3 linked regions of the Oryzias latipes genome follow. The protein of the gene in region 1 purifies or fractionates together with the protein of each later gene. This does not show direct contact. Links are inferred from orthologs where the notes say so. Each region holds a gene or a part of one and is shown in the gene's direction. Other genes may lie near its edges.

Evidence for each region.
Region 2: the proteins of nufip2 (region 1) and ataxin-2-like protein purify together in Homo sapiens (affinity purification with mass spectrometry; 4 studies listed by BioGRID and IntAct, counting the BioPlex papers as one, with this or other methods). This does not show direct contact. The link is inferred for Oryzias latipes from reciprocal best matches to the Homo sapiens genes NUFIP2 and ATXN2L.
Region 3: the proteins of nufip2 (region 1) and atxn2 purify together in Homo sapiens (affinity purification with mass spectrometry; 3 studies listed by BioGRID and IntAct, counting the BioPlex papers as one, with this or other methods). This does not show direct contact. The link is inferred for Oryzias latipes from reciprocal best matches to the Homo sapiens genes NUFIP2 and ATXN2.

What each region holds. Positions count from the first base shown.
Region 1 is NC_019872.2:16,922,499-16,926,148, forward strand, and holds part of nufip2 (nuclear fragile X mental retardation-interacting protein 2), read left to right. Parts: intron 1-1,458; coding exon 1,459-3,120; intron 3,121-3,650. UniProt on the Homo sapiens protein: Binds RNA.
Region 2 is NC_019877.2:7,560,926-7,565,327, forward strand, and holds the start of ataxin-2-like protein, read left to right. Parts: upstream 1-1,464; 5' UTR 1,465-2,038; coding exon 2,039-2,160; intron 2,161-3,243; coding exon 3,244-3,283; intron 3,284-3,619; coding exon 3,620-3,676; intron 3,677-4,046; coding exon 4,047-4,118; intron 4,119-4,257; coding exon 4,258-4,402. Other genes in the region: protein MTO1 homolog, mitochondrial, read right to left, coding at 41-158, 230-429, 516-696. UniProt on the Homo sapiens protein: Involved in the regulation of stress granule and P-body formation.
Region 3 is NC_019867.2:7,484,033-7,487,682, reverse strand, and holds part of atxn2 (ataxin-2), read left to right. Parts: coding exon 1-258; intron 259-506; coding exon 507-570; intron 571-2,697; coding exon 2,698-2,844; intron 2,845-3,274; coding exon 3,275-3,292; intron 3,293-3,650. UniProt on the Homo sapiens protein: Involved in EGFR trafficking, acting as negative regulator of endocytic EGFR internalization at the plasma membrane.

The sequences.
Region 1 (3,650 bases):
AATATTAGTTGTAGTTTAGCTGATGTAAAGTACTAAAAATGGTTTTATGAAGTAAACAATGCAAAGCTTTAGAATGTATATAAGTGCATTCTCATATGATTTTTTGTATAGAGGGGATAACTTGGAGACCGACTCATTGACTGTGCAAAGCTTCATAAAGCGAACACCTGCTTATCAAAAGCTCTTAAACCAATTATTTGTATATGTGCGCGTGTGTTTGTGTATGCGCGTTATGGCTTACAAGATTTTTTTTTTTTTATTAGTTTCTTGCAGTTAAAGATTTTCAATTTTTTTTTCTTTAGTCTTTTCTCAGAATGTTGTTATGATCCAGGTGTGCACTTGGATGCAGGGTTGTGATGTTTCTCACAGTTATCAACTTTGGTTTAGGTTATGTCTTTTTTTCAATTTTAAATTCACAATTATAACATCGACAACAAAAAATAGCTTTGATTATTTTTATATTATCTGTTCAGCCAAATCATCAATGTGGTTTTAGAATGATGACCTGACATTTTCTCATAAGGAAGTTGTTGAGTTTTTCCACTCTTGGCCTCTTAAAAATGTTCTGTTTGTTTTTACCAAAGTCATGCATAAGCCACAGTTTTTAATTATAAGGTAAACATTGGCGTATTGATTCTTTACTGAATGTCAGGCCTTTTTACTTAAATGAAAAAAGTCGTGGACTAAACCATTGTGGAAAAAATCCAGAAAACTGAGTGAATTTAGCTCTGTAAGAAGAAAAGATGGAATCACCCCGCATGTTTGAAGGGTTTTCCAATTCTCTTTTATATGAAAGTGTAAGCAGAAGTGTTGCAGACTTTTCAAATTCAAAGGGCATGAAAGGGTGTAAAAAAACAAAGTCTGTACTTAATTGTAATCTAGAAAACTAAAGTAGCAAAGATTTATTTTGAATTTTTAGTGTAAATATGAAGTTATTTTTTATTTCTAGGAACAGTTTCATCTTATAACTTGCGTTTTTCTGTGAGTCTGGTAGGGTTACACATTGGAAATGTTATTTCCTAATGTCTATATTTTTAACAGTGTATTCACTCATATTTTGTGCATTAAACAGTTGCAGGTTTATTGCATTTTCTACCCCCTTTTCAGGGCCTTTAACCCTTGTGCTATCCTAGGCACTGTAACATTGGGAGTTGGGTCATCTAGACCCACTAGACAGTTCGCTGAACCTTTTTTTCTTCAATGATTTGTGATCTTCACTGGTGTCCACGGATTAAATGAAATCCTCTCCACCTTTATCCACCTTTGTCGTGGTAGGGATACCATGTCAATCTAAGGGTGGGGTCATCTGGACCCTATAAGATGGCACAAGGGTTAAGGTGTAGGGGTAAGGCTCAGTTACACATTGGAGTTTGCTTTTGGTGTAACATCTTTTGTATATTTTTGAAATCATTGATAGACTATTATATCAGCATATACTGACTTAAATTCTGTTTGCAGGCAATAAAAAAGTAAACGTCAGTGACGGGGAAGGGGAGAAGAACGCACACCTACCTGATGCTGTTGGTATGCTCCATTCTTCAAGCAGCAATGGTAACAGACACTTGAGTAACTCGCATGTGAAGCAAAAGGGAACACAGAGACACCACGCACCCGCTATGAAAGTAAGCAACAAAGGATTGGACTACAAGAAGACTATGGACCTTAAAAATGAGAAGGAAAAGACCCCAGATTTGAGTCCTCACGAGGCCCAGCCTTCAGAGAAGAAAGACTCTGCTTTGCTTCAGAACGGTGTTGTAAACTGTGGCTTAATTACAAATGGCTACTCTAGCAAGGATAACGATGGGAGCGGCTCTGAGGGTGGATACACCACCCCAAAGAAACGCAGGACCCGGTGTAACAACGTCAAGAACTTTGCTGATGTGACAAAAGAAAAGGAGAAGGACGCGCAACCCAGCAACAGTATGCAGGAACAAAGGGCTTTGAACCTTGATCCGGCCGAGAAAGGACTCTCCTGTAGAACTGATGGCTTTAAATCCACCCATAAAGCAGAAACCCAGTCAGCTGCACCTGGCGAATGTCAGAGGAAAAACTCTGACGGCAAAGCAGCTGCCACTTTTAATAAAAAAATGGAGGAAAAGCAGAAAGGCAAGAACTCCTCACCTTCTAAAGAGGACTCGTGGACTTTGTTTAAGCCCCTTCCAGCTTTTCCTGTGGACAATAGCAGTGCTAAAATTGTTCCCAAGATCAGTTATGCAAGTAAAGTAAAAGAGAACCTCAAAGTAGCTCAAGGTGGAGAAGAGGCAGCTCCTCCTCCTGTGAGAATGTCACAGGTTCCAATGTCTGCTATGAAAACGATCACCTCAGCTAGCTTTACTAATGGTCCTGTTTCTGGAAATGGAAACTGCTGCCCGACTGTGGGGATCTTTTTTGCTCCTGCTGCTAGTAGTCTTCAATCAGCTCCATCTATTCCAAGTGGCGAGAATGTAGCAACGTCTGTGGACAGTAACTGTAGCTCTACAACCAGTCCTGTCGATGGAGAAACCTATGAACTTCAGAAGTGTTCTCTTTTAATCTACCCTTTAAATATGCAACCTTTGCTCCCCAGCGCTCGTCACCTTGACCCACCGGCCGCTCAGACAAATCAGAAAGCCCTGAGAGACATCTTTCAGAATCAGTGGGGGCTGTCCTTCATCAACGAACCCAACTTGGGGCTGGACGGAGGAAACGGGCTCATAGCTGCGGAGGACCAGACTCCTGTGACTTCTCAGAGCGAGGCTAGGGCTGTGACGACCACGACCACCCATCCTTGCCTCAACGCTATGCCGTCATTGGTAGAATCTTGCACTTTGTCTCAAGACTCGCAGAAAAGAACTTGTGCCCCTTGCCAAGCATCAAACCCCTGTTCTCCTGCTTGCATGGTCAGCGAGGAGGAGACAAAGTTGCTTCCTTGTAGCCAGGGCAAGACTAAAGCTGAGACCAAGGGTGCAATTACTTCAATGTCAACCTCCAGTAAAGACAACGGTGCCAAGTCTGCACAGGGCCAACAGACCACGCTGTTGTTTGGCTCTCCTAAAGAACAGATCCATTCTAAAGACACTAGCAGGAGGTGTAGCTTGGGCTCCTTTGACCTTAAAGCTGCTGTCACCTATCACACTAAAGGTAACAGACTTTTACAACTTTTCAACCAACTTTCATAGAAGATGAGATGTATTCATTTAGAAGATTTTAAATATCTTTTTATCTGATCGGACAGAGCAGCAGGTATTGATGCACTTTAAATTCAAAACCAGGTTATTGCACTGATGCTCTTATCATTAAAATGCATTTGCATATAAATATAATCTCTGAATTACATGATGCCTGGAATGAATTATCTCATTTGAGATGATGAGCATCAAAGTTTAAAGTTTTGTTTCTGTTTGAATTTTATTTTTTCAAAGCTGCTTTATAGGAAGCTGAAAAAAATGTAAAGATATGATGGGTTTGGGATTCAAGCAACCATAAGAATTTAATTGTAACCTCATAAAAAGTGTAACCCCTTGATGACTGAATTATTATTATTATTATCAGCAATTATTATTCTCAGCAATGAAAAAAAAATCCGTTGTGTTTTTGCTTTCATGTATTTGCTAAATTAAAGGGGTTTGATGCATCTTTTCATTTATAGGCGTCAAAGGGTTAACAAAGGG
Region 2 (4,402 bases), on another chromosome or scaffold:
CCACTCTCAGATTCTAGTGTCATATGTGTGTGCTGCATACCCAAACTTATCCCAGTTACTCTGTGGCTGCCAGGCTCATCTGGATTTGGTTCTGCCACCAGTAGGTCCTCCACAGAGCCCTCCAGGACTGTCAATCTACTGATGGACTGCAGTTCACCCTGCAGAAAAACACATAAGTCTGTCATGACATTTAAAGTCAATCTGACAATTATTAGTATGTGTATAATACCTGAATGAATTCCCTGTAACGCTGGCGGTCCAGCTGAGCCCTCGGCCCCCACACTGCGGGCCCCTTTCTCCGATTCAAGATGGAGAAATTAATCCCAGCCCAGTCTCCAGCTCGTCCACACAACCCATCCAGAGCATCTACCTCCCTGACAAGGTGACCCTTCCCCACTCCTCCCAGCGAGGGGTTACAGGACAGCGCACCTGGTAAAACATTGATCAAGTAGGAACAATCCATATGCGTCCAGCTGCTCAGAATTTAAGATACATTTTTGTTCATAAAATCCTACCAATTGTGTGTGTTTTCTGTGTGACCAGAAGCGTCTCAGCTCCCATTCTCGCAGCAGCAGCCGCCGCCTCGGTCCCTGCATGACCTCCACCCACCACAATGACATCATAACACTGTCTGGACAGGTGACTGATGCACCTGGAAACCAGAGAATGGATCATCCGCACAGGTTGGAGCTTCATGTGTGATCCATACCTGTCAAAATAAGACTCAAACACTTAAAAAGTTCAACAAAACTGCTTTTCTCCCCAGACATCTTCTATGGCAATGTTATAAGTAATAATACACTTCAGTATAACAGCAGACTGACCTGATAAGAGCAACAATTCTTATAGATCTAAGCTTATTACTCACATGTTATACTTTTACATACTATTCACACTATAAATGATATCCCCCAAATACAAAAAGGACTTACAGTTTCTTGATTATTAAAAGAAATATGTCAATAATAACTATCCAATTTTAAATTAAGAAAAAGACAAACAAAGAGCCTTTTTTAAGAAAAATTACAAAACGCCCAATGATCTTCCCGGGCGCCGCCATGATGGTTGAAGCTGAAAACCGTAATACCCCTAATCCAGGCGCAGCCAAAATTTGGCATCTTTATGCAATATGTCCTTAAAAGTTTTTGATTATGTATAAATCATATAAAATAAAGTTAAAGTGCAGTCACTGTTGTTAAAATGAGGAAAAGCGGAGTTAAAAATGTGTAATAATAATAATATTAAATGCCACATTTTACAAGCAACGTGTTTTGTGTAGATACTGCCACGTGTACAGATCAAACCCCCTGCTTTGGTGACAGAAAATTGTGATTTTAAAATAAATGAATCTGAATCAGTGCAGAAATTACTCCGTGTACCCGCTCGCAGTAGTAGGTCAAAAGTGCTAAAGCACATCTCTGCCCCCTCCCCCTTCCAGCCGGTTTCCAGTCAGCCGAGCGCGGATTGAGTCAAGTGAGCCTACCGAAAGGTGGTGTTGACCGACCGCAGCAGGTTTTCAATAAGAAGCCTGATAACTGAAACCTCGTAAGGAAACTGACAATAACGCCAAGTACTAACTTTTCAACCGAAGAGTCAGCGGCGTCGGAGCTAAGGTTACGAGACGGAGGGAAGAAAGTAAATCCCGAAGGAAGGAAGGCAGGCACTCGAAGTGAGCTTGAGGATCAAAGCTAATGCTAACTTAGCTTGTTGCTATCGCTAAATATTTACACGGAACCGAGTGTGTTTTAGGTATTAGTTTGGACTTTACTTTTGTGGTTTTAAAGTAAATATATTTGGTGGTAAGAGGCTAAGTATATCCTGTATTTAATTCAAGTTTTTTTGCCTTAATATTTTAGGCCACAGTCGATATTTGTTAGCAGTACTAGCCGGTCTTTAAGGTTGGACCGGCTTTCTGCTTATTACGATAGGTGATATATAGGCAAGGAAATTTGGTTTTGTTAGTATTTTTACGTTGGAAGGCACCCTGTTTATTGGGTTTGGCTAATAAAGTGGTACTGTCTAAGCCTTGTGCGTCGCAATGCTAAAACAACAGCAGCCTGGCGCAGGCGGGAGAAAGACGTCTAACGGAACGTCGGGGCCCGGCGGTATGTCTTCGCCAGTCAGCGGGATGAACAGCGGCAGCAGGACACCCGCTGGAAGGTAGGCCCGTTCGGTGTCCCTCCTTAGGACAGGCCGAGGATTCTCTCTGGTGTTTAGAAGGCCTACCGGTTAAAACGCAGCGTACCAGTAGGCGTGGCTCTCAAAACAGAGCTGCTTTCTAAACCAATTGCATTAATTGTCTAGTGATTGACAGCAGGGATGGACAAACAAGAAGGCTTTATTCTGATTTAGCTGAACCAGAAAGGTGGGGCTAAGTGTGTTGAAAGCACCAAACAGCAAGTCGCGGTTAGGTTGTGTCGGATTGTCAGAAAGAGGATCCCTTTTCGACAAATATCTCGACTTTGAATATTTATCTATAACAAAACATTAAAAGTAAACTTACGCGTAAACCTAACAGACCAGCCACTCGGGTGTGCATTTTGAAGACGTTTTCTAGTGTCAATGTGGCTTCGTTTTGTAACACTTGTACCTGGCAGTAGTAACGCAGTTCCACGTTGGCATAAAAGCTAAATGTTTCTCTCACATCGATTAAAACGCCTTTAAATGGCCAGATCGAAAGATAACTAGTCTTTCTTTTGTTAAATAAAAATTCAAATGCCTGTGGAAACACTTTGAATTGTGTTAGTTACCACAAAGTGTGGTATAATCTTCTAATAATGCTCCGTATATTATTTTTGTAAAGAAAAACAATCAGTGGGCTCAACTTTATGAAGCAAAAATATGAATGGATGTGCCATTAACTCTGGTTTACTTGTTTTTTTGTACACATATTTCATTTGCATTTAATCATCTAGCAGGAAATACAAACAATCTGGATTATTTGCACTTTTTAGTACCCAGGTGTTTATTTATTTATTTATTTAGGTTTATGACGTCCTGGATTAAAATCAGCCAGTGAATCTGATCATTTAAAACAAACCAATATCAACTATGACTCTTATCAGGAACCACAAATCACAATATGAATTGAATCGTTAAAATAAATCGCTACACCCCTATCAAATTAAATCAAGAGAATAGACTATATGCAAGCCTACCAACATTTAACTAAGCTACAGATTCGGTGAACTCTTTGAAGACAACTATATTTCAACCTTTCAAACAATTCCTTTTTTTTTCCAGGAATCGAGCCTCTGCAAAGCCATCATTCCAGGCAACTCCTGTGAGTGTCATCTATCAGAAATACTCATCAGTTAGAAATCTTTTGCTCCACATTAGACCATAAAAAGATGGGGAATTAAATCATCCAATGAATGTTGAAACATTAGTTTTGCATTTGGGAAAACAGGTTAACAAAATCCTGTGAGCGACAAATGCCAACCTGTGACGAAAAGTCATGTTAATGAGTTAAAGTTCTGTTGAGTCAAAGAGTTCTGTGTTGGCATAAAGAGAGTATTCAGTGATTTTTGCAATTTCACCTCCGGGGTAAACCAAAAATGTTCTTTCTAATTTTGATGCTCACTGTTTTACTAAAATAATGGCTGTTTTTCCTTTACAGGTCTTTGAGGGAGTCTACAACAATGCTAGAATGCTTCATTTCCTCACAGCTGTTGTGGTAAATTGTTTAGATTATTGCCTAAAATATCTTTGTGAAATTGTGGCTTTATTCAAGCAAAACGTGTGGAAATATTTCTATATTTAAGTTTTTTTTTTTATTATAGTTTTCTCTTATGTTTTGGATTATGCCAGGTTGCTCCAAGTTAACTGAGAATTTGACTTTTGCTACCTGTTTAATTTTATTTGTACATTATTTTTTCATACTTAATTACACTGCTCACAAAACCCTTTGACCGGACCAAAATTTACCCCTTTAGAAAGATCTGTGGGACCAAAAGGAGTTATTTTAACCCAAATATTACTTTTTTGCGTGACAATAATTAAGAAAAAGAATCTAAAAGTGGATAAGTTTTCTCTCTCGCTTGCAGGGGTCCACCTGTGACATAAGAGTGAAGAATGGCAATGTTTTTCAAGGCATTTTCAAGACTCTCAGCTCCCGGGTAAAACGCTTCTCTTGGCTAGCCAGAAATTGCTTTGTTGCTTCAAAAACATGATTAGGACTATTCTTTTGCAATAAGTTTATTTAAGGTTGATGTATAGCAATCATTTTAAAGTTCTGCTGTCTTTAAAATGCTTTAGTGTGAGTTGGCCGTGGATGCTGTACACAAACGCGGTCCTGATGATGACGGGTCGACAGCAGCTCCACCGCGGAGGGAGGACATCACAGAGACGATGATCTTCAGTCCCTCTGATCTAGTCACCATGATCTGCAGGGATGTGGATC
Region 3 (3,650 bases), on another chromosome or scaffold:
AGCGTCCGCAGCGGGACGGGACGCTGCCGAGGATAATGGTGCAGGGAATTCTGCTCAAGCTTCGGAGGCTGCGCCGGTTCCCCCCACTACCAGTACAAACGCTAGTAAACCGGATAGCCCTGCTGCCCTTTCTCCATCTCCTTCAGCAGCAGACGCCAAGAGGACGGGCCTGGATGTGACGTCCCAAGGAGTTCAGACGTCTACACTGAGCGGATCCAAACACGAGGACAAGGAGGAGAAAAAGGAGGCAGTACAAGAGTGAGTTTAGAAGAATGGCTTATGTTCCTGTTGTAAAACATATTCTGTCATGTGGTAAACCTCAAGTTTCTCTACCGATTAGATCCTTTTTTAAAACCAAATGAAAAAAGTTTCCTTTAGATCTTGCAATACAGAACTGTATTTTTCTTCAAAATATGCTTGAAATTTAAGTTGCCAAATAAAAAAATAGTTTCTGGACTGGCCCTTTAATGGAAAAATGAAATTCTGCTCTTTTTATTTTTCTGCAGTCAAGTACGAAAATCAACTCTGAACCCAAATGCTAACGAGTTCAAGCCCAGGTTCAACAGTCAGGTCAGTGTCATCCTGCAGCAGCTCACAACCAGGAATTAGACGGATCCCACATAACCACCATCAATAACATCCAAATAGAAACAACCTGATGATGATGTTTAGAGATTTTGAAGAGATCCAGATAGTGTCAGATCACGTCTTTAATCGGGGTTGATGAGATCATTCAGAGACTCTCCCAGTACGGTGAGCCTCGCCATCTGAATGACGGCCGATTTTCAGCGGTACTTATTTCTCGCTGTGGCCCCAGTTTGACAACTTTCTGTCCGACGATTCGAAAATTAGAGGAAATTTTTTTTATCATCTTAATAAAAGTAAAAAAATATATCATAAAGTTCAGGAGAACAAGATTCTCTTCCATGTTTGGTTTAGACTCCACCCACTGATTGTGCTGCCAATGTAACGTCACGGGCCAAAGCGGAGTTCCTGTGGCGCCCCAAAAGGGCTGCTACTAGAACGGCGCGCCTGACGCTCAGAGCACGTCGCAGCACCTTTGAATGAGTCTTCATGGGCTTGACTGGAGGCAGCGTTCGGTGTGAACGCAGCTTCAGTTTGTTGCTATGGAGATCTACATCCGAACCGCTGCCTTAAATTCTTCGTGGTTACACAACATGGTCATAAAAAATGAGGAATATTTGATCATGTAGCATGAAAGAGAAAGGTAAAAGAAAACAACGATGGTTTCCTGACACTAAAGGTAAAAATTAGAGGTTTGTCACAACAAACCATGTCAGTCACTTGTCTGTGTGACGTTAAGTTTCAACACAGCTTGAGAGTGCAGAGATCTATAAACCTCCGCATCCACAGATGGATTCAAACGTTTAGACCAGGGGTCGGGAACCTTTTTGGCCAAGAGAGCCATAAATGCCACATATTTTGAAATGTAATTTCGAAAGAGCCATACAATAATGTAGTGTCCCTTCCCCACACTGAGGCACGGAGACTTAACCTCTTTTAAAGTTCTTTATTCTGGTTACTGCAGACCGCAACAAACGCCGTTCAATTAATTCAGCAACTCCTGAATCTCTCCCGCCGACACGAGAGCGCTTCTCCCAACTTTATATTCCCCTGCTCCCGCTCCAGCCCCTCCCATTTCCTTATTCGGCCCATAGCTGAACCCCATTGGTCCAAACTACCTAACAACAGGCTGAGCGACAGAACTGAGGGCCAATTAGATCTCTGCTTGACGCGTTCAATGAACTCCAGAACTTTTAACGCGGCCCAACAGCCATCCTACTCAGTCCGCGACAATTTGTTTAAAACTAAATACACAAATGAATGTGTGCATTTGATTTAATTTCAACATTTTTAAAGTACAATAAGTCTGTGGATTCTTTTTAATAACATTGTTATTCTGTTGCTAATAAATGCTGAGTATTTCTCGTGGTAGTTTTGCTGATGGTCTAGTCTGGTTGATACGTGGTGAGTTTCTGCTTCGTTCAGGCGTTGAGGCTTTAAACGTGATCGTAGGTCTGAATGTTCTGTAGATGTGAGACATTCTTATCACATGCAGACGCGGAGCCAAACACACACTCACACGCTGCAGTGAGTGACGGGAAGCGGGTTTTACGTTTTTACAATCCCTGCGCGATTCACCTGCTGCCTGTCCCCACAACACCTCAGCCCCACCCTCTGCTTTCTCCCTCACACATCCCGTCCCCGCATCTGCGCGCTCTTTCTCAGAGACGGGAGCGCGTAGTTTTAGGCGCGTCAATTCACAGGTTTCCAGCTGGTACAAACTCTGTGAAATAATAGATAATAGTAACTGATAGCGCTGGCGCAGATTTCTCTCTCCAAGCACCGCTACTACTGCGCGCCTCTTGCATCGCATCGCGCCCGAGAAGGACTGGTCTAATGAAAAAAAAAAAAAACTATAATTAAAGATTTGTCTGCGAGCCACATGTGACCATCAAAAGAGCCATATATGGCTCGCGAGCCATAGGTTCCCGACCCCTGGTTTAGACCCTTGATTTTTGCAGCTGCTGTTTCTTTTATTGAGCAGCTTGCAGTGCTGTGAGTCCTTAAACGGTTGTTTGGAGAAGGTCAGATCAAGGTCGCTGTTTCAATGGAATCTGATGATAATCTGAGGTTTCTGCTTATCGTTCTGTGTTCCTGTCTGCCTTTTATTAGCCCAAACCCGCCAACACCCCCACACCCCCCCGGCCCCAGGGCCAGCCCAGCCCCTCCATCGTGGTCCCTCCTCCTCAGACTGTGTACGGGCAGCCAGTCTGCTTCCCTCAGATGTATCCGCTCACACCTGTCAGTCCTGGAGTTCAGGTGAGACTCGCCCGCATTCTCAAATGATCCACCTGGGGGCGCTTTACTGCTGTTGAGTTCAGATCGCCATAAACCTAACACTGAGTTAGCATGAAAGGCAGGTTTAATGAAAGCTAACTTGTTTTCTTCCGTATGATGTGATGATTTTTTTTCACAAAGGTTCTGTGTTTGGATGCATGAGTCCTTTATCATCTGTTTTCACTCCTAAAAGTAAACTGAATATGAATTTATGGATGTTTTATGCTTTAAAAAGTGACAAACTGTGAAGACTTCTCATAGTGTTTTTACAACTTTGTTTTTTCATGAAAGTTTTTTAAATGTGTTGCTTTAAGAACAACTTGGTGATCCAACATCAGATTCAGACGATACATAACCAGAGTGGTTCTTCTTCCCTTTTCTCCCCCTCCTCCTGTCTCTCTCGCTCCATTAGAAAAGCATAATATGGAAGGTTTGTGCATTTTTCTAGATTTTTTTTTCTTTCTTTTTACCCCCCGTTTTTCTTTTGAACCCTAATCGACACTGAAATGTTTTGCTTGCTTGTTAAATATCCATCAGATGTTGGTTTGCCAACTTCTTATTGCAATTGAGTGGCCCTGAACGCCACGTTTTGTTTCTGTCGACCAAAGACGTGTCTGCAAGCTAAAGTGAATGTACGCCTGGTTGTTCCTGGTGCAGTATTTCTGTGATGGACTTGCATGATGTTATGGAGACGTTCTGAGCAGACTTTGGGTTCAAATCCATTATTTATACTCTGTGCATGTTCCCCCCAGTAAAGAAAAAAAAAAACGAGCTTTTTGCTTATTCTT